4 linked regions of the Oryzias latipes genome follow. The protein of the gene in region 2 purifies or fractionates together with the protein of the main gene of each other region. This does not show direct contact. Links are inferred from orthologs where the notes say so. Each region holds a gene or a part of one and is shown on either strand. Other genes may lie near its edges.

Evidence for each region. Proteins that work in one complex are often made in the same cells at the same time.
Region 1: the proteins of rnps1 (region 2) and pip4k2b purify together in Homo sapiens (co-immunoprecipitation; 3 studies listed by BioGRID and IntAct, with this or other methods). This does not show direct contact. The link is inferred for Oryzias latipes from reciprocal best matches to the Homo sapiens genes RNPS1 and PIP4K2B.
Region 3: the proteins of rnps1 (region 2) and RNA-binding protein 25 purify together in Homo sapiens (affinity purification with mass spectrometry; 3 studies listed by BioGRID and IntAct, with this or other methods). This does not show direct contact. The link is inferred for Oryzias latipes from reciprocal best matches to the Homo sapiens genes RNPS1 and RBM25.
Region 4: the proteins of rnps1 (region 2) and rbm8a purify together in Homo sapiens (co-immunoprecipitation; 4 studies listed by BioGRID and IntAct, with this or other methods). This does not show direct contact. The link is inferred for Oryzias latipes from reciprocal best matches to the Homo sapiens genes RNPS1 and RBM8A.

What each region holds. Positions count from the first base shown.
Region 1 is NC_019859.2:8,441,596-8,446,472, reverse strand, and holds the start of pip4k2b (phosphatidylinositol 5-phosphate 4-kinase type-2 beta), read right to left. Parts: upstream 2,981-4,877; 5' UTR 2,468-2,980; coding exon 2,324-2,467; intron 1-2,323. UniProt on the Homo sapiens protein: Participates in the biosynthesis of phosphatidylinositol 4,5-bisphosphate. Preferentially utilizes GTP, rather than ATP, for PI(5)P phosphorylation and its activity reflects changes in direct proportion to the physiological GTP concentration.
Region 2 is NC_019866.2:11,024,101-11,028,907, reverse strand, and holds rnps1 (RNA-binding protein with serine-rich domain 1), read left to right. Parts: upstream 1-1,599; 5' UTR 1,600-1,691; coding exon 1,692-1,693; exon of another isoform or gene 1,694-1,760; coding exon of another isoform or gene 1,761-1,762; intron 1,763-2,274; coding exon 2,275-2,409; intron 2,410-2,514; coding exon 2,515-2,691; intron 2,692-2,781; coding exon 2,782-2,887; intron 2,888-3,141; coding exon 3,142-3,295; intron 3,296-3,387; coding exon 3,388-3,529; intron 3,530-3,647; coding exon 3,648-3,753; 3' UTR 3,754-4,037; downstream 4,038-4,807. UniProt on the Homo sapiens protein: Part of pre- and post-splicing multiprotein mRNP complexes. Auxiliary component of the splicing-dependent multiprotein exon junction complex (EJC) deposited at splice junction on mRNAs.
Region 3 is NC_019880.2:1,888,368-1,892,997, reverse strand, and holds the start of RNA-binding protein 25, read right to left. Parts: upstream 2,981-4,630; 5' UTR 2,784-2,980; intron 2,571-2,783; 5' UTR 2,555-2,570; coding exon 2,449-2,554; intron 367-2,448; coding exon 317-366; intron 191-316; coding exon 20-190; intron 1-19. UniProt on the Homo sapiens protein: RNA-binding protein that acts as a regulator of alternative pre-mRNA splicing. Involved in apoptotic cell death through the regulation of the apoptotic factor BCL2L1 isoform expression.
Region 4 is NC_019874.2:29,126,456-29,131,029, forward strand, and holds the start of rbm8a (RNA-binding protein 8A), read left to right. Parts: upstream 1-1,594; 5' UTR 1,595-1,602; coding exon 1,603-1,663; coding exon of another isoform or gene 1,664-1,669; intron 1,670-2,183; coding exon 2,184-2,243; intron 2,244-2,322; coding exon 2,323-2,400; intron 2,401-2,966; coding exon 2,967-3,103; intron 3,104-4,574.

The sequences.
Region 1 (4,877 bases), on a different chromosome or scaffold from region 2:
AGAGGCCGCAGCCAGAAACACATCTGCAGTTAGCTGCTCCCCCGGATTCATCTGAACGGATCCGGCCAGACCCTGACCGGTTCCACCACAGAGCTGGTCAAAGAGGAGCTGCTTCATCGACCAAAATGCTCTTCTTCTCTGCTCCCCAACAGCAAAGACGGATCAAACCACAAACATCCATGAAAACCTGAACCCACGTTGAGAACACCAGGACACAAAAAAGCCCTGAACTCCGACCTTAGTGGAGGACTCGAGACCAACTTTGGCAGACGCCTTTGCTCTCAAACTAACTGATCCAATGGGATCACAGGGATCCTGACCAACTGATCCGGTTTGATGATTACACAGTTGGAACTCATACAACGCTGTCTGATCGGGACAATTGGAGTGACACAAGTTCAACACAAGGGCATGCTGTGCTAAAGTGTTCAATTTCAGAAAATCTGATTTAATAACTTTGTCTGTCTGCTTGAACGGTTCCCTTTCCCCAAAATGCGCTTCATGCGCTTCAATCCCCGATTTTTGGGCGGCAGTTTTGTCTTTTACATAACAACTAAAAAGTTGGATAAATCTTTAGAATTTGCTAATAAGACACTAACAATGAATAAGAACCTTTGAGTTGTCTTTTACTAAGCCTGGTGTAATGTATTAAAACAATAAATAATAAACCCTTCTTACACACGTGTTTGTCACTTTCTACATACTGCTATGCAGTAGGGATGGAACCATAGCTCCCCTCGTGATTCGGTTTAGTGGTGTGACATACAATTTGGTGGGAAACCGGGAATTGTGGCATCTCTATTGAACGTTATTCCACATACTGGAGCATTGTCTTTTCAGAAGCTAATCATACAATTACTGTACTTCCATCTCAAGTCCATCTGTGTTCTGATGCAACTCCTGAAGAATCACGCACTGCTAAACAGCTGCATGTTAGTCTAGTTTCATTTATTGTAATCTATTAAAATGCATCAAACTGTTGTTTCTAATTTAAGTATTATGAAGAACTTGCTTGAATCTGTCAAACCAATCAATAAAAGTCTCACTCCGATCATCTTTTGTAAAAGTGTTGTCTTTTAATTAGGATTATGGTGTTTAAATTAAATTAGTTTCTGCAGAATGACAGGAGTTCATCAGAAATTCACCTCTGAGTTGTGGGTGGAACCGTTGTGTGGTGTGGAGCAACCCCAGCCGCCCTTCCCATCAAATTTAACTGAGAGCTCTCCGTTTACACTCTCTCCTGCTAGCTTACAGTCCCCCCTACATAACATTACCAGTGTAACAGCAAAGGCGAGCTATCTTGGAGCTATCCAGCCGTACATTTTTGAGCCAGACGAGGAAAACACAGGCGTGCATGGATCTAGTCGTCTACCAGTGATTCTACCAGAAATTGTAAAGACATTTCAGTGGTTGCATTGATTGCCAACGGTTTTTTTCTTTTTATTAAACGTATTTGTCTGTAATTCACAGGGATTTAGTGTTTTAATGTTGGGTTTGGCTGTAAATCCGTGTTTTAAGCAGCAGTTGTGTGAATCTGTGTCACAGTTTGGTTTCATATCTGGTCATTCTGCTTCTCCAGGTCTTCGTTCAACATCTCTGCGGTCATTTCCATCATTCCGCGTCTCAGATTGAAACATATTTCACCTCTGGGGTCGCTTGAACATGAGCTCCTGGGCTCTGGCCAAATAGGTCGGCTTGGTAATCCGGGCGCGCGCGCGCAGCTCGCCGCCAGCTTTCCGCGCATCAATCAGACTCGTGCAGGTTCGGCAGACTCCATCACCCAACCCGAAACCTTTTCATAGCCGCACGAAGCTTCGGCCAGACGCGATACATTTTCAGCTCTATTTATAAAGAAAGGCTGCGACAAACGGCTGGAGATCGCCGCCTCCCCCCCGGTCACAATCCGGGGAAAGCTGCTGCTGCTGCCTGACACGCCCCTCCTCACGCCTGCAGCAGCAGATCACGGCAGCTTGGCAACCGAAACACCTCTCAATCCATAATCTATGACAGCAGATAATCCCCTCCACCACCACAGCCACGAGCCTAAATTGCCAACGATTAAAGTCAGTTATAGAAGTTGATCTGATTTACGGAGAGGATCTATAGATCCCAACATGAATCTGTCCCCCAAATAATAAATAAATAAATAAGATAACAGCAGCTTCACATAACAGCTGCTAGCTAACCACGACAAACAGAAGCAATCACGACCCGCAAGGATCAATTGATGACAGAAAAGCCGCTTTGACAGATGAGGGCAGCTGGCTAACAGGTTAGCAAGAAAGCTAGAAAATCAAAACAACGGGAGGATGCTCCGACTCACCGTGTGGTTGACTCCCCACATCAAAACGCTGAGGATGGGCTCGCTCGCGCGGAATAACTTCACTTTCTGCCCTATAAAATGCTTCTTTTTCGTCTTGGTTTTGCTGGCGCTGGCGGCCGCTGCGCTGGTGCAGTTGGCTGACATGTCTGCGTTCAGACGGCGCTCTCAAAAACAATTTCAAAATAAAAAATAAAAACAACGGAAACAAGGAAAAAACTATCTAAATGTGTAAAACGGAGACGTTACGAGCGTGGAAAGCTCGCTAAGTGCATCGTGGACCGACTCTCGGTGCGTCTGTGGGCTGGCTGCGTTGATGGGAGTCAACGGTGGAGCATTTTGCTCCGTCACCACCCTTCCTCCGCCCGAGCAGGCCGCGGTGGAGTCCAGAGAGCGGCTAACCGGCCATCGGGCTACAGCGCAGCCGCGCGACTTTCTGATGAAATCGCGGCCTGTGTGTGGCGCAGAGCTGCCACCGTGCGGTGCCTCGCTTCCTCTGGACAGAGAATTTTTTTAAAAAAAGAAAAGAAAAACTAAAAGGAAAAACGTAACTGTTCCGTTTTAAACGCAGGCGAGTAATCCCCTCATGGTGTGCCCGGAGACTGCCGTCGGGCGCCGCCGCCAGCCGAACGCTGCGATCGGGTCTCCCTCAAGATGGCGCCTGCACCGCATTTCACGGTAAACAGCGCCCCCTACGGGTTGTTGTGAGAACTGCATGGATTTTTCACAGAGTGGCACGTTCAACAGAGCAGGGCAGCACAGATTAAATGTAATCTGGATTAAGTAATCAGATGACAAAAACAAGAAACCTTTGTCAAGTGTATTCATACATTTTATATATTATGCTTTTATTTTGTACAGGTTAAACATGTCCAGTCTGTGTAGAACATCTTTTGCGTACAGTAGCATTTCAAAGTGCTTTACATGAAGTTAGATACACAACAACTAACCTAATGTAAAAACCTGTTAGTTGCCCTGAATACAAATTTCAACTAAATAACCAAATGTAAAGTGAGTCATTATAAAAAATATCTGACAACAACAAAATATTAATGTGAGCGACAGAATTCGATTTAAAAAAAAAGTTTTTCAACTAAAATTACATGTTGCTTGATTCAGACGTCCATTTAATAATGGTGGAGATGTGATTTTGAAAAAGAACCCTGCTAGCCAGCATAAACAGATGAAAACAAAGAGGAATTTACTGTTTATCACTGTTTTAGTTTTATTCTCTCTCTGTACATCTTTTTCAATGCTTCTGTTCCGCTTGCATAGAATAGATTTGATGGGGTTTTGATGGTTACAAACAGATACTTGTAGGGCCTTTATTCCATGCCAGAGAACCTCAGTCTGTTTGCAGAGCTGACCTACAGCACTCTCACCGATGCCCGGTCTCCGGAACATGAGGGTTGTGCCGTGAGTGCAAAAGGTGACGAAGTGTCACAACTGGACAGGAATAAACTCTGAAACGTTACCATTTGACCGAGACCATTTGGATTGTGACAAACCTGAAAATATGAGGATTTTAATTGGCAGCTCAAGTTGAGGAAATGACTTCAAGTTGGTGATGTTGGCGAGCTGCGATGTGTCTGCTAGCAGGAGTAAACATGATAAAAAATATGGAAGCCTATCTGTCTCATAATTCAAAATGAAAGTCAATACCCAAAATGCTTTTTCATTTTCACAATAGAGCTGTGTTCGTTGAATCAAAAATAAAATGAAAAATCAATCTGCTGAACTTGACTTTTAATTTTGAATTATGAGACAGATATGCTTCCATACAGAAATGCCTGAACTGATCAAATGTCACTTTGGGGTTTCTTTTTGTAAGGAATGGACATTATAATACACTTAAAACCTCAAAAAATTGATTTTCATGGTATAAGCCCTTTAAATGCAGTCAAGAACAGGAAACAATGAATCCCTGTTGATTGGGAGTGACTGACACACCTGGCACACCTCTGGTGACAACCAAGAGTTAACAGCGCACTTCTGGGTGTTTAGACAATAGGCCCTATAGTATAGGATTGAAGTAAATGGCAGAGATTTTTTGGTAAAAGAATGTCTCAATTCACCATATATATATAAAAAAAAGCTCTGCTGCTTTGTTAATTCTCTCCTCTACAGAGAGTATGAACTGGACCTTTTTTTTATTAAAAGGTGAGTCAATAATCTGAGTTTTTTGTGGATTCAACATAGAAAATAAGGTGATTCACTGATCGCCTATGATAAAACTCGGATGCACTGAGTAAAGTTTGTGCTGCTTTCATGCTGTAAATTCGTGTTTGGTAAACCGTCGCTGTTTATGTGTGGACTTGGGAGATGTTATGGCTTATTTGTTGTGCAAACACTTACTGCAAAAGCTGCACCTTTACAGTTTTGGCTAAAGATCTAAAACTTTCCTTTTCAGTTTTTAACCTTTTTTTTTGATCCAATAACCCATATTTCATGTTGACTAAGATTGACTAAGAATATATGATGACACATATTGATTGACGCCGCTGTAAATGTGCTTTTGCAATGCTTTTTTGTACATTTATAATGCATCTAGAGTCAA
Region 2 (4,807 bases):
CACACAAGAGTCTGCATGAAAGTTCAAACCTTTGCAAAGGGGATTTTGAGTGGCTTTATATTCTGTAACTGTGGTGTCAACAAACAAACAAACAAACAAACAAACAAACAAACAAACAAACAAGTTGTCTGTGACAAAGAAAACATTGTCAAAATGACTATAAAATTCTGCTTTTGACAGACACTTCTTTCCTGGGCACTTGTTTATAAACACCCCTCACTTATAATTTATTTATTTGGACTAAGAAATACATCATTTACTAAAACAAATATATATTTTTTGTCATAATAATTTCAACAATAATATGGGTCAGTTCCTTGACAGAAAAGGACATTTGTTTAGAACTGAGGAGTTTAATCTAACATATAGTAATACATATTTTTATGGACTCGAAGTCTAAATGTCAACACCATAAAATAAAGAAGATGAAAAGAGAAAATCAGTTACACCCCTGTTGGAAAATCTTGTTTCAAATTTACTCAGGAGAATAACAAAGTCATATGTGCCTTGTTTCAACGAGATGTTATTTCAGAACATTTTGTTGTCTTTTAGTGAAATACTTTTGTCTCTGACTTGCTATGGAAAGAACTTTCATTGCATCAGAAATAGTTGATTAATGACAAGATGAGCGATATCTCCTCTCAATTTCTGCACAGAATAATACTAGTCAAGATATTTAACATTGTAAAATATATTAAAGTTTGTTAACATTCTGTGAAAGAAAACCCAAAAACTCAGTCACCTACTTTGGAATTGTAATATTTATTAAAAATCTTTTGATTAGACTGTACATATTTAAAAAATTGCAACAATAACTCAAAATGCGATGCTCCAGTGCTGTGACTATATGTAAGGTCTGCATGGATTTGTATTATAACTTTTTCATTCATCCACACTTGTGTCGTGTATGTTTACAAAAAAAGTTGGCAAGAAAAAAAAAACAACAACGATATATATATATATATATATATATATATATATATATATATCGTTTTAAGATCTGAATTTACTAAATATTAAATTTTTCCAAAATACAAAGAAATCCATTTTAAAATAATGTATGCAGTCTATCCATACAAGGAACTACTATACATATACGTTTTGGTTTTCCAGAAAATAACTGTTCTTTCTGTGACATAAATATAGAAACACTTGATCATCTGTTTTTTTGAATGTATATATGTTAACAGTTTTTGGGAGAATTTCTTTTCTTGTTGCTCCTCAAAGTTTCCCTTTCCTATTTATATTCAATTACAAAAGCAGATCATATTATTTGGAGTAGTTTCTGTTGATAATATATTTGATTTGACATTCAATACTTTATTAATATCTGGGAAATTTTTCATTGATGAGAGCAGATTTTCAAAAACAAAACCATTATTCAATACATTTCATATTGAGATCAGTTTATATTAAAAATCTCTGATATTAATAAAAAGCAAAAATGCAATAAAATGTCTATTTTCATTGAAGATCACGCGTTGTATGAAAATCCCTTGTATTGTAAACTACAATTATATTATTTTTATTTATTTATTTATTTCTATTTTCTTCTTTTTTCTTTTTTTCTGTTGTAGCTTTTGTGTGTGCGTTTGTTTAAAGTTAAAATAAAAAATTACGTAACATCCGCTTTCATCATCACTTCGCGACCTCACACCAGACCGCAAGTGAAGCCATTTTTGGCCGTTGGAATGTAAGATTAACCTTTTTACGTATTTTCGATCTAAATAGCTTTAATAGCGGAACTTGTTGATTTAAACATGTAAGTTCGGAGGCTTTTTTATTTTGCGCGAAAGTTCCTTATAAAGGAAGAAGTCGTTTAACCGCGACGCGGGTGTAGTTTAGTCCCTTGTTGTGCTCAAAAAAAACAACGAGGGAACGAGTCCAAATAGAAGGTTTTTTTTTTTCTGAATGAAAATATTAGTGTAAGGGAAAATATTATGTAATTTACGGTCCTAAACATTTGGAATTAAGCTTAAAATAATTACAATTTATTGTGCACATGTTAAATGTCGGTAAAAAAAAAAAAAACACCGAAACAATTTTGAATTAATTAGATAAAAATGAAATGAAAAAGTTATATATATTCAAGTAATTAACGAGTTAAATTTAATTAATGACCTTTTTGGTGCAAAAAATTTGTATCTAGCACATTTTAAGGCTGTTTCTCTCTATCCAATAAAAACATAAATCACAATCCTTTACATAAACCTAGACATAATCACTTTTTTAGGTTTCTAGGTCTCTAATTTATGTGCTTTCTCGCCACATCAGGGCACCATTACCGATAAAGCGAAAGGAAGATGAAAAGAAAAACAGGGAAAAAGAAAAAATAAAGGAAGGAGACAAGGAAAGGGGTCGCGACAAAGCAAAGAAACGCCGCAGTGCTTCATCAGGCAGCAGCAGCAGGTGAGCTATTTTTTCTTTCTTATATTTAAAAATATAATATAGCATCCTGTCCTGGATGTTCATTCCCAACTAAATCATTGTTTGTTTTTGACCTTCCACATCTAGATCTAGCTCATCCTCCAGCAGCAGCTCTGGTTCTAGCTCTGGTTCTTCAAGTGGTTCCAGCTCCTCTTCCAGTCGCTCCGGATCCTCTAGCTCTCGGTCTTCCTCCTCCTCCAGCTCTTCGGCCTCTCCAAGTCCCAGCCGCAGACGCCATGACAACCGACGCCGTTCACGATCTCCGTCAGTCCATTTTCTCAGACATGAGACAAATATTTATATTGTATCTCAAAAATATTGACAATATTTATTCTGTAATTTTTTATCCTGCAGTTCTAAAACACAGAAGAGAGGAGAAGAAAGAGAACGAAGAAAAAGAAGTCCCACCCCTAAACCCACAAAGGTTCACTTGGGAAGGCTGACCAGGAATGTAACCAAGGCAAGCTAAAAAAACAAACAAAAGCTAAATCTTTGATTTTTAAAAAAAAAATTCTAATTCAATAAAAGCAGATCTTATTTTTCATGATAACTAGTTAGAATGAAATATTCTTTATGTTTATTGTCTGTCAAGATGTGCGCCTAAAACTGCAAGAATTAAATAAAAAGCTAAATATTTTGTTTTTAGTTTTTTTTAATGGAACAATCCTTCACAAAATAATGGTTAAAAACTAAATGTATGTTTCAATTTACTAGGAACACATCCAGGAGATTTTCTCTACATATGGAAAAATTAAAGCGGTTGACATGCCGGTGGAAAGGCTCTTCCCAAACCTGACCAAAGGCTTTGCTTACGTGGAGTTTGAGACCCCTGAAGAAGCCCAGAAAGCTCTTAAACACATGGATGGAGGTAGGAAAGAATCATTTAAGGGGCTGGAGAAATCATATTGACGAACATAAACTTGGTCAGGTAAAAACAAACCTTCCTGATGACTTTTTTAGGTCAGATTGACGGGCAGGAAATCACTGCAGCTGCTGTGCTGACTCAGCTGATCCGTGGTCCTCCACGTAGACTGTCTCCTCCTCGAAGAATGCCGCCACCTCCACCGATGTGGCGCCGCAGCCCACCACGCATGAGAAGAAGGTTATTTAAAAGCTTTCACTTGTACCTTTTTAATATTTTTAACGTTTTATTATGCGGTCCATTGAAACGGAATCTTCTCCCACCTACTGATGCTCGTCCTTTTTTTGTGCCTGTTTAGATCACGCTCCCCAAGGAGGCGCTCGCCACCACGTCGCCGCTCTCGCTCTAGGTCTCCTGGCCGCAGGCGCCATCGCTCTCGTTCAAGCTCAAATTCCTCCAGATAGAAAGTTGTCTTTACTCTAAATACTCGCCGCAGATCAGCTGCAGTTTTCGCATTTCCTGGCTCCTCGGACACAAAGGATCTATATAAATTGCAGTAAATTTAGCTGAGTTCGTAGTGACAAGGAGACGAGAAAAATTCTTTCTTTTTTTTTAAATTTTGTGCTGAAAATTGACTGTAGTTTTTATGTTATGTCTGATGACATCTAACAAGATTTTGTGATTCCTTCATTCGAGTTGATTTTTTTTTTTGAAGAATTTTGAGAATAAAACCTATGAAACATCTTGATTCTGATTTCTGTCATCTTGTGATCCGGCTCAACTATTATTCTGATTTCTAGTCACAAAAATACTTTTAACCCTTATGTGGTGTTCGGGTCTGTGGGACCCGTTTTCATTTTTTATCAAAAGAAAAATGATACAATTAATTAATTTTTCAAACTCAGACTCACTGGCCTTGGCTCATTTTCTGTGAAGAACAGATATCAGAATACATTTTTAATGACCACACACCGTATACCCCCCCCAACACATTTCTATTACATATAAGATGTTCGGGTCCACTGGACCCAGGGCTAATAGAAGTGTGGAAATTGATGTTTTTATGTACCTACACTCTGTCCTCCACCTGTCTGGGCCTGCTGTGTGTGTGTGTGTGTGGGTGTGTGTGTGTGTGTGTGACCAGTGAGAAAGAGAGAGAGAGAGTGGCAGAGAGAGAAAGATTCACTGTAAATGTGAGTTCTGTTTCTGCACCTGCGGTTCCCGCACAAGGTTGCAACATTGTTAGAATAATTCAAGCATCAACTCTGTTTGCTCTCGTTCTCCCGCACATTTGATCATTTGACTTTCTTGCGGGAATCTTTAATATCTCACATAGCAGATAAAGATCTGCTACAAATTGGAGGCGGGACACTATAAATATAGCTTTGCCAGTGTGGTTTCTCATCACAACTGATCAAAATGGCCAAAAGACTTTCTGCGCAGAGGGCCCTGGAATTGATTTTAGAAGAGAGAGACGTTTTCGATGATGATGTAGAGGGAGACGATTCAGAAGAGGAG
Region 3 (4,630 bases), on a different chromosome or scaffold from region 2:
TGAATGGGTGCAAACTCACAGCCAGCAGCTGCCTGACCAACATGTCGGAGGCCTTTTCTGAGATGTTCCCCACAAACACGGTGGTGGTGGGGCCCGCGCCGTCGTCCGCATCCCTGGCCCGCCCCATGCCGTGCTCCTTCTTTGCAGCTATGGGCTTCTGGGTAATGGTGACCGCAGTTGGAACCAGAACCTGCGACAGCAATGCAAGGTTTAGAGACGAACGCATCAACTGTGGATGCCATAAAGACGGCGGTGACGGCGGGTCACACGGAGGAGCTGCGGGTTAATGTGGTAAAAACTCTGGTTTCAGACTCACTGTGGGCGCGGGGGCCACTACGCCCATGTGAACTGGGATCATGGGAGTACCTGGAAACAGCAGAGGGAAAAGGTTGGTGTAGATTTTGCTTTCATCCACACTGAATCCTAACTTCTAGGACTGTTTCACCCAGAAAGTTCCCTCAGTTCCAAGCTGTGAGTGTAAAGCCAACAGGGTGGAGCGGACGCTCACACATCTAAGACAAAGAGGCCCTTCAGAGGAGACAGAGGCAGACAGAAACCTGTTTCCCCTCAAACTATGGGAATCCAGTCCTCATGAAGACAGTGATCCACGGTGAGCCTCAAACACAACTGGACTTTAACGATGAATCCGTGAATTGATTTATGATTCCAACCAGACAGAGTTAATGGAATTGGCCCACACTGTTATAAAATGGTTTCAAAATGAGATCAAATACTATTTGGATTGAGGTACAGCCGGTTTATTTTACTAGAAGGTTTAATCGACCAATCACAGCGGACAACACATTTGTGATGTCATTAACACGGAATGTTAATGACATGTTGTCATTAACAACATGTCTAATGTGCTAGAATGTTCTAAGAATGTTCCCTTTGGATTCTTTGGATGTGGAAAAACAACAGTGGTGAAATTTAGGAAACTAACATGTGAATGGATTTGACATTCATTCTAGTTTACTTGTTTGTTTGGACACAGATTTCATTTCCACTTGATGATCTGGAAGAAATCCAAGAATCTGGAAAACTGTTCAGTAGCAGGAATTTCTGTCTGGAAGTTTGGATGAAGAGGATCTGGATCTACTTTAGCTCAGTGAACCGGAGCGTTCAGAATGAACAAATATTGAATATAAACATATCGTCAGCCACAAATTGTGATATGAAATGCAGCATTAAAATGAATGATTACACTTCTACTGGTTCAGAAAATACAAATAAAAATGGAAAGAATTTAAAAAACCCAGCAGCTTCTAAACCTGTGGGTCACTTGGTACGGGACAACAGACACAGAAAACAAAACCAAAAAACTTACAGAAAGTTATTACAGTTATTACTATTAATTTATTTCTGTTTGGAGGATTTATTCATTCTGAAGGAAGTTTTATTTTGGAAAACTATAGGATTCTGTGCACCACATCCCTTTATGCTTTACTGCATATCAAGACGTTCTCCTCGGTCACGTGTCAAATACATTTGGTACTTTCTTAAAGCCTCCAATCCTAAATTTAATGCCCGAAGACAGCAAAGTTAATAAAAAACAAACGGAGGAAAAGATCCAGAGAGGAAACCGAAGAAGAGTCTTCAACTTCAAAATAAAAGAAATCTTTTAGTTGTGTCATTGCTAGGACATAGTTTCTGCAGAGCGACAGGAGTTCAATAGAAATTCACCCCCCACACACTTCCCGCCACCCATCTGTTTACAAGCTCTCCTGCTAGCTTACAGCGCCTCACAACCCCATGCTAACACGGGCGGTGCAACAAAAATGGCGAGCAATATCAACCTACACCTGTAAATATGGAGCTTGTGGCTCCGCCCAGCGTATTTTCTACATCACCTTTGCAAAGAGCATTTTTTAATCTGTTCCTAATTCACAATAATTTGAATAGAGAAATACTCAGAAATGCAATCATGAGTTTAAGTTTCTTTAAATATGTCAGAAAAATGCTACAACATGTTAAAAACACCAGTTTGATGGGAGGGGGTCTCTAAAGGTTAACGGTGAGCTTCTACTTCAATGTTTAGTAGTTTAGCCTCCCGTGAGGAATTTCAACATCAATGGATTTGAATGGATTTCCTTTTTCCCAAATTAGCCTCCATTCTTACCTGATTTTTTCACCTGGAATCAGGTGAACAACATTGCTTATAATATGGATGCCTACAGGCAGGGGGGCAAATGCGCATGTCTACAGATCTGAGGCTCCTGTCAAAACTGAAATCCCAGCATGAATAAAGCATTTATGACGGCTACCACCACAAAAAACGGTGTGGATTTTTATTCAAGTTCATCTAAATCTACCAATTATCGAATTTCATTCATCTCCCCGTCAAATCACGTGGTGAACTGCAGTGCTTCCCAACGCGATGCTTGACTCCAGATCCAACACAAGCTGGGGGGGGGGGGGGGGTCACAGGTGTGCGGCGGTTCTCGGTACCTGGTGGAACTGGAGGGGCGAAGCCTCCGTACTGCGGCGGGGGGATCCCTGGGGGAAGCTGGGGGAGGCCGACCTGCGGCCGGTTCATCGGAGGCGGGTAAGACATTCCTGGAGGAGACCGCCTGCAAGACCGAGACAAGAGGAGGTTAGCGGGAAGGAGTGGAGCTTCTTCCACTGGTCACCGTCACAGCGACCAGCTCAAACTGACAGAATAAACTGACAAATCGATGAGATTAAAAGACTAGCTAGCTTGTAAACTGCTAGCCTCAGACGGCTAAGTCCGGCCTTGCTGCTAGACGTTAGCATCGGCGGTCATGAAGAACGCGCTCACCCACCTTCAGTCAAGTATTCCGTTAAAAAGAGGACACGGCTAACACGGCTGATTATCCTCGTAAAAAACCCATTAAATGCAGCAAAAGGACCGATTCCGGGAGAATTAGCAGGCTAAATTAGACACCGGTTCACTGCGGGAGCTCCCGTGGTTCGAGGCTAACGGAGCTATTCTTTCCGAAAAGGATTATGGGACATCTGGGTTCAGCTCGGGTTGTTTTTTTCTTAATACCCTGAGTGAGGTCTTACAGGCAGCAGCTCCTGCATCAAACACTTTAAAATCGTCAAATTTGCCTTAATTCTGTTGGATTTGTTTTATTTAATTTTTCATTTAACAAAAAATACAAACATAGTTATGTCAATGTCCTTTAATAGAGACTTCATTCTAATTCAAACTGAGAGTATGTGAAATAAAAGGATAATTCATGTAGAAATAAAAGATTTTCCAAAATTATAACTGAAAAAGCAATTTAGGATCTTTAAATACTAGAAATACTAGAAAAAAGCTCCGTAATTAAATTAGCCATTTTTTTTAAATAAATGTCTGGATAGAATGATAACTCAAGCTGGCTCACTGGGGGAGCATACAGGAGAAATTGAAAAAAAAATGGCTTAGTTTGGAGTTCCACAAGGTAGCTACTCTGGTCCGCCTTTATTGTCATTGACAAATTTGTCGGTCAGATGGATAACAAAAAGCTGGACCTTGGCAAATGCTGCAGTACTAAACCAACAACAACAAAAACTCTGACCATGTTTTTTGGACTAAAAAGGTCGGAAAAAACCCTCAAGTACAGGAAACTACACAGAAAAAAAATCCAGCTGGGATTTGAACCTTTCATTGTAGTGATTGTGCTGCCCACTACACACCACCAAGACGTTAGAAATGAGAGCGAACTCTGGTTTGCCTTACAGAAGAGATCCAGGGAAAAATACGATGGTGCAGATAAGAAAAAAAATCTCAGCAGTTCATATTTTCCGCCGCTCGGTGGCGCCAAAATCCACACTTTGGCCTTTGGAAATTGATTTCGAACCTGTGTCCTGGAGCAAGATGTGAACGTCCATCGCCGTTACTGTTTGCAGCTGCGTCAGTCTAACATGAGCTCAGCAGCGAAACAGTTGTTGCTCAAATCCACTTTCTTCTGTATTCTAGAAATGTCATTTTATTGACATTCTACGGTTTTCAGCAGCTAGAATTATGAGGAATAATTCAACACAAACACTAAAACCTATTTTTAAAGTAATTTATTTTGTATTTTTGTCTTTGATGAGTGTTACACAATCAGTGCTTTAATATGTTTTCAGACTCTGTTCTGCCAGCAGCTACAGGAATGACACAAATACAGTAAACTAAGTTTGTGATTCAACCCCATGTGTGTGTTTGTGTCTTTGTGTGTGAGTGTAGTGTGTGAGTATTTGAGCGCATGCGTTTGTTTTTTTGTGCGAGGTTATGCAAGTTTGTTGATAGGTTTGACTGTATCCCTGAGTGTGCGTGAGTTTGTGTGTTTCTGTGCGTGAACTTGAGTGTGTATTTGCTTCTGTGTGTGTGTTTGAGGTTTCGTGAGTGTGTTCAAGTGTGTGTCTGTTTTTAAGTGGGTGTGAGGTGGTGTGTGTGTAAGTGTTTGTGTGTATGTTGGTGTCGGTGGTTGTCTATTTTGGTGTGCGTTCAGGTGTTAGTGTGTGTTTGGGTATATTAGGGTGTGTAGGTGTGTTAATGTGTGTGTGTGTGTGTGTGTGTGTGTTGGTGTGTGTGTCTGTTCTGCTTTGGTCGGGATTGACACCTGCTGAACACCTTATGTGGAATTTTCCACTTGTGTAGCTTCACGCGCGCCGGTACCGCTTTCTTTCCTTCGGG
Region 4 (4,574 bases), on a different chromosome or scaffold from region 2:
GGGGGTTTTGTGTATTTGGAATAATTGTTGTGTGTAGTTAAAATAGTTTTAGGCTTTTTTAAAGTTTTACTGTAGTTTCGTTTGAAATTTTTCTTGGGTATTTTAACTGTTTTAGGTTTTTATTATTATTATTTGTTTATATGCATGACAGTTGTTAAGATTTTTTTTTTTTTAATCATTCCTCCTCCTGATAAAAAAATAGATGATGGTAAAAACTATTTCACCCAGAAAGCTGAAGTTCTGACTGTAGCAATGAAAATAATATTACAATTAATTAAGTAATGATTAATCTAATAAATATGTAAACAGTCGTGTAAATCACAAATATTGTATCAATCACAAATATAAACTTCTGTGAAACTCTTGAAGTTTGCAGACAACACTACAGTCAAATGCCTTACATGTGCAGTCATGCTCTTATTAGTAATAAAGATGATTCTGATTCTAAAACCTTGACATCAATATTAACACAGAATGTACTAATAATAATTATGATAGAAATTGCAACTCTAATATTAATAACAAGTATAGTCACAATTTTAATAATAGAAATGCTATCCCTTGCAGTATAATAAAGTATTTTAAATCATATTTTTGTTGTGTGAATGTTGACACTAATGTTTAAAACAAATGTATACATTTCTCATTGTTCTCATTATATCAGTGATGACACTAAATATAATACCAAGATAACAACAATTTTCAATTCTTGAAAATATATGGCATGGAAATTTTAACAATGCTATTAATAACAAATATATCATTAATTATATTGCATTAAATTGTCCACACTAAAGTATAAAAAATCATGATTATTTATTAATATCATGATTGAGTAAGTAAGTAAATTTTATTTGCATAGCACCTTTCACAGACAAAGATCACAGGTTAAAATATATATATATATATATATATATATATATATATATATATATACATATAAAAACATAAAAGATAAAAAGCACAAACCACGTAAAACAATCATCTCAAGCCCAATGAAAGCAGTTTCAGTTAAAATGCTTTGCAAAAATAAAAAGTTTTCATGATGATAAATGTAAATTATTTCATAAGGGATAAATTAGAAATCATGATTATTAAAACATAAATTATCGTTTAATATTATGCATTTTTACCAGTAACACATGTGATATTAATCATGAATATTATAATAAAACTCTGCACTAAAAATTAATAACAAAAATTTCATTTTCAAATAAAAACTCATTATTAATCTTATTATTATATTTGACTAATTTTATATTAATAAATGCAAATTTTCTTCATCTCCTATTTTTTCCCTGTGTTATTAATCAAACAAATTTAAATGTATCTCAGTAACATCTCCAAAAGTCTTAATCAGAAAGCTGCATGTTTGTATGAAAGTTGTTGAAATCTGAATGTTTTTTTTTATCTAAAACTCCTGTAATATGTATGCTACCCTGGCATATCTGAAGTTTACTTAGCAAAATTGTGTTTTGTATTAAACTTACTTACGTTTTGTACAATAAAGTTTAAAAAAAAATCTTTACGGAAGTTACGTACTCAGACTCTTTAGTGATTCTCCGTGCGCATGCGCTGTTCGTACTCAGTCAAACAGACATCATGGCGGACGTGTTGGACCTTCATGAGGCGGGAGGAGAAGACTTTCCTATGGATGAGGATGGTGACGGTATTGCGTTGTTTTACACAATTAGAGGCGGACGCACCGCAGTCCTGCCAGCCAAATAATGAAATTCAAATAGCCGCACGTGCGGTCAGAATCACGCTCAGCCCAGACTGCGTGTTTGTTAGCGGGCCGCAGCCGTGTTAGCATCCAGCTAACTCAACGAAAGGCGGTCATTCATCCACTTAGCGAGCCTCTCAGCGGGGGTGCAGCCGTCTGTGTTTGCGAGGGCCGCTTTTAAAATGTTAATTATTTAAACGGACTGTATTTTTCTCTGCACGTTAAAGCTGTTTTGTTTTCTATTAAGCTAGCGCTAGCATCCATGTTAGCCAACGGCTACATGCTGTTAGTGTTGCGCAGATGAGAGAAAAAACGTCGATTTAAAAATTGCACATTGTTCCTAAAAAAACAACCCAAAAACACATATAGTTACTCCATTTGAGAACTTCATAAACTAAACTCTTGTGAATTAAAGGAAACTGAAAACGGCGTCCTTAGGCTTTTATTCGTCTGTTTGCAGAAAGCATCCACAAGTTAAAGGAGAAAGCCAAGAAGAGGAAAGGACGAGGTTTTGGTGCAGGTGAGCTTTCAAAGCATTTTTCCCTTTATTTTTCTTGACTTCTTAGGGTTTGGTTTTGATTCTAAGTTTTTGATTCCAGATGATGGGGCCCGGTCCAGAGCCAAAGAGGACTATGATACTGTGGAACAGGACGGAGATGAGCCTGGGCCTCAGAGATGTAGGTGTTACAAGTGACCTTCATGTTCAGATAGAAGCAAATTAACAAGCTGTAGTCACACTTAGATTGTAAAAAATCTAAGATCTTTGTGTGTATTTTTTTTTATTTTATTTATTTAATTTGATTATAGAATAAATGGTCAATGTTGTGCTTTTCTACCTTTACTAAGCCACTAAGGGCTTGAAAGTCCCAGTCCCATGCACAGTCACAGCCTGTAACCCCCACGAGCGTTGTGGGGTTTAAGTGTCTTGCCCAAAAGACACGTCCACACATGGGCAGGCAAGGCAGGAACTGAACTTTTGATTGAAGGTCTACCTCTGCATCACAGCTGCAGATAACTAATTTAATTTAACCTAAAGTTCATTGTTTAAAAGTTATAAATCAGTTTCACGGCTGCGTTTTAATTTTGACCTATGCAAAAACTAAAAAACTGCTCTGAAACAATGCAGACTTTTACTTTTGAAACTGCGTGAATGCCAGCAGGTCAGGTAAACTCATCTGCTTGTCTTGGTGTGGAGACTGGGGGGTTTGGGTGTCTGATGCCCTGTTCCCTCCCCTCTCTGCAGCTGTAGAAGGCTGGATCCTGTTTGTGACGGGCGTGCACGAGGAGGCCACAGAGGAAGACATCCACGATAAGTTCTCAGAGTTTGGGGAAATCAAGAACCTCCATCTTAATCTGGATCGCAGAACTGGCTATCTGAAGGTGAGTTTAAACCATTTCCTTTTTCTTTGAACACATTTTGTATTTTAAAGACACAACATTTGGATGTCAAATGTTGCTTATGTTCCAATGAACATCTAAGCGGAAGAAGTGAATATTTGATCAACATTAAAAACAAGCATTTAGGCAGTAATTATCAGAGGGAAGGATGGAAGTCATCATATTAATGATGTGGAAGATTTCATTCAGTAGGATTTAATCATATATTTTATAATACTTGTAGAAAAGAAAGTTGGTTGCTAAAATAAGGCTGTTGTGTTCTCAGAACAGTTGCGTGAAGGGGTTAAGAGAGAGCCTGGACTGCCCTTTTGTAGCAGCACTTTAGTTTCTGTGAAGTGAAGCTGATATTTAAGAACAGTCGTATGAAAAACAAACTATTTCGGCTTTATTATTACTGAGGGATTTTCTTTCCGTCTTATTGGTGTTTGGCCGCCACTAAAGGCTAAAATGCTCAGTGTTGAGTCTTTGACTTTTCCACCAAAATAAAAGCTTTGGCATAATTCTGGTCTAACTGCACGACACAAAAATGGATGAGAAAAGCATTTGGGGGGCCGTGAGAAGAAGAGGGTTGACCTTTCTGCAGTTTGTTACTTCACGGTCTGCTCAGTGAAGGAGGAAACCGTCTGACATCTGCACTTTGTGATCAGAACTGTATTATAATAATTGTCAGATTTCAAAGGGTTGTTTTTCAGTTTTAAAACGAGTCTGAGGATACTTAAAGCCTGACTGTCACTGTATTTTCACTCAAAAAAAATATGTTTTTCTCTTTTGGTGCAGTGTTTTTCAACCAGTTTATAACTGGAAAAAAATTCCATTTCACCTAATTGGGCTAAAAAAATGTTTTCCGTTAGCAGGATATCAGTTCTGTGTTCATCCGAACAGACCCGGCTTTTCCACTGGAGTATTTAGAAATGTCTGCTTTGGTTTTATTGGTTTAGTTTAGTTTGTCATTTGCATTGTTTACCTAACATACAGTATAAACAATTAATTAAAAAAATAGGCAGAAGCATATGAAGCTTATTATATGCCTGTCCTTCAATGTCCAAGTTAATCAGTTTAACAAACCAAAAAGTAGGAAACAGTCCTTAATAAATGGAGACAAGTAAACAAAGTCCTTCTACATCTGTGTTTTGTAACCTTTAATATGTTTTAGACTTTTTTTCTTTTAACTGAGAATTACGTCATTTTAATTCATCGCTCAATTCCTTCCATTATTTCACGTCAAGAACTGAAACACATCTTGTCTTGACATTAGATCGAACATTAAACCTGTTCAAAATGAGAAAGACCCCTTAAATTATACTGACCAACTCTTCAATAGTCTGTCTTTTTTGGAACTAAATTACGTTTAACTCTATAAACAATTTCTAATACTTTACTGTAAACAATATCCTTTATTTCTAAACGTTTAGTTAAACTAAATTAGGCCTGCACACTAAATCGCAAATTTGTC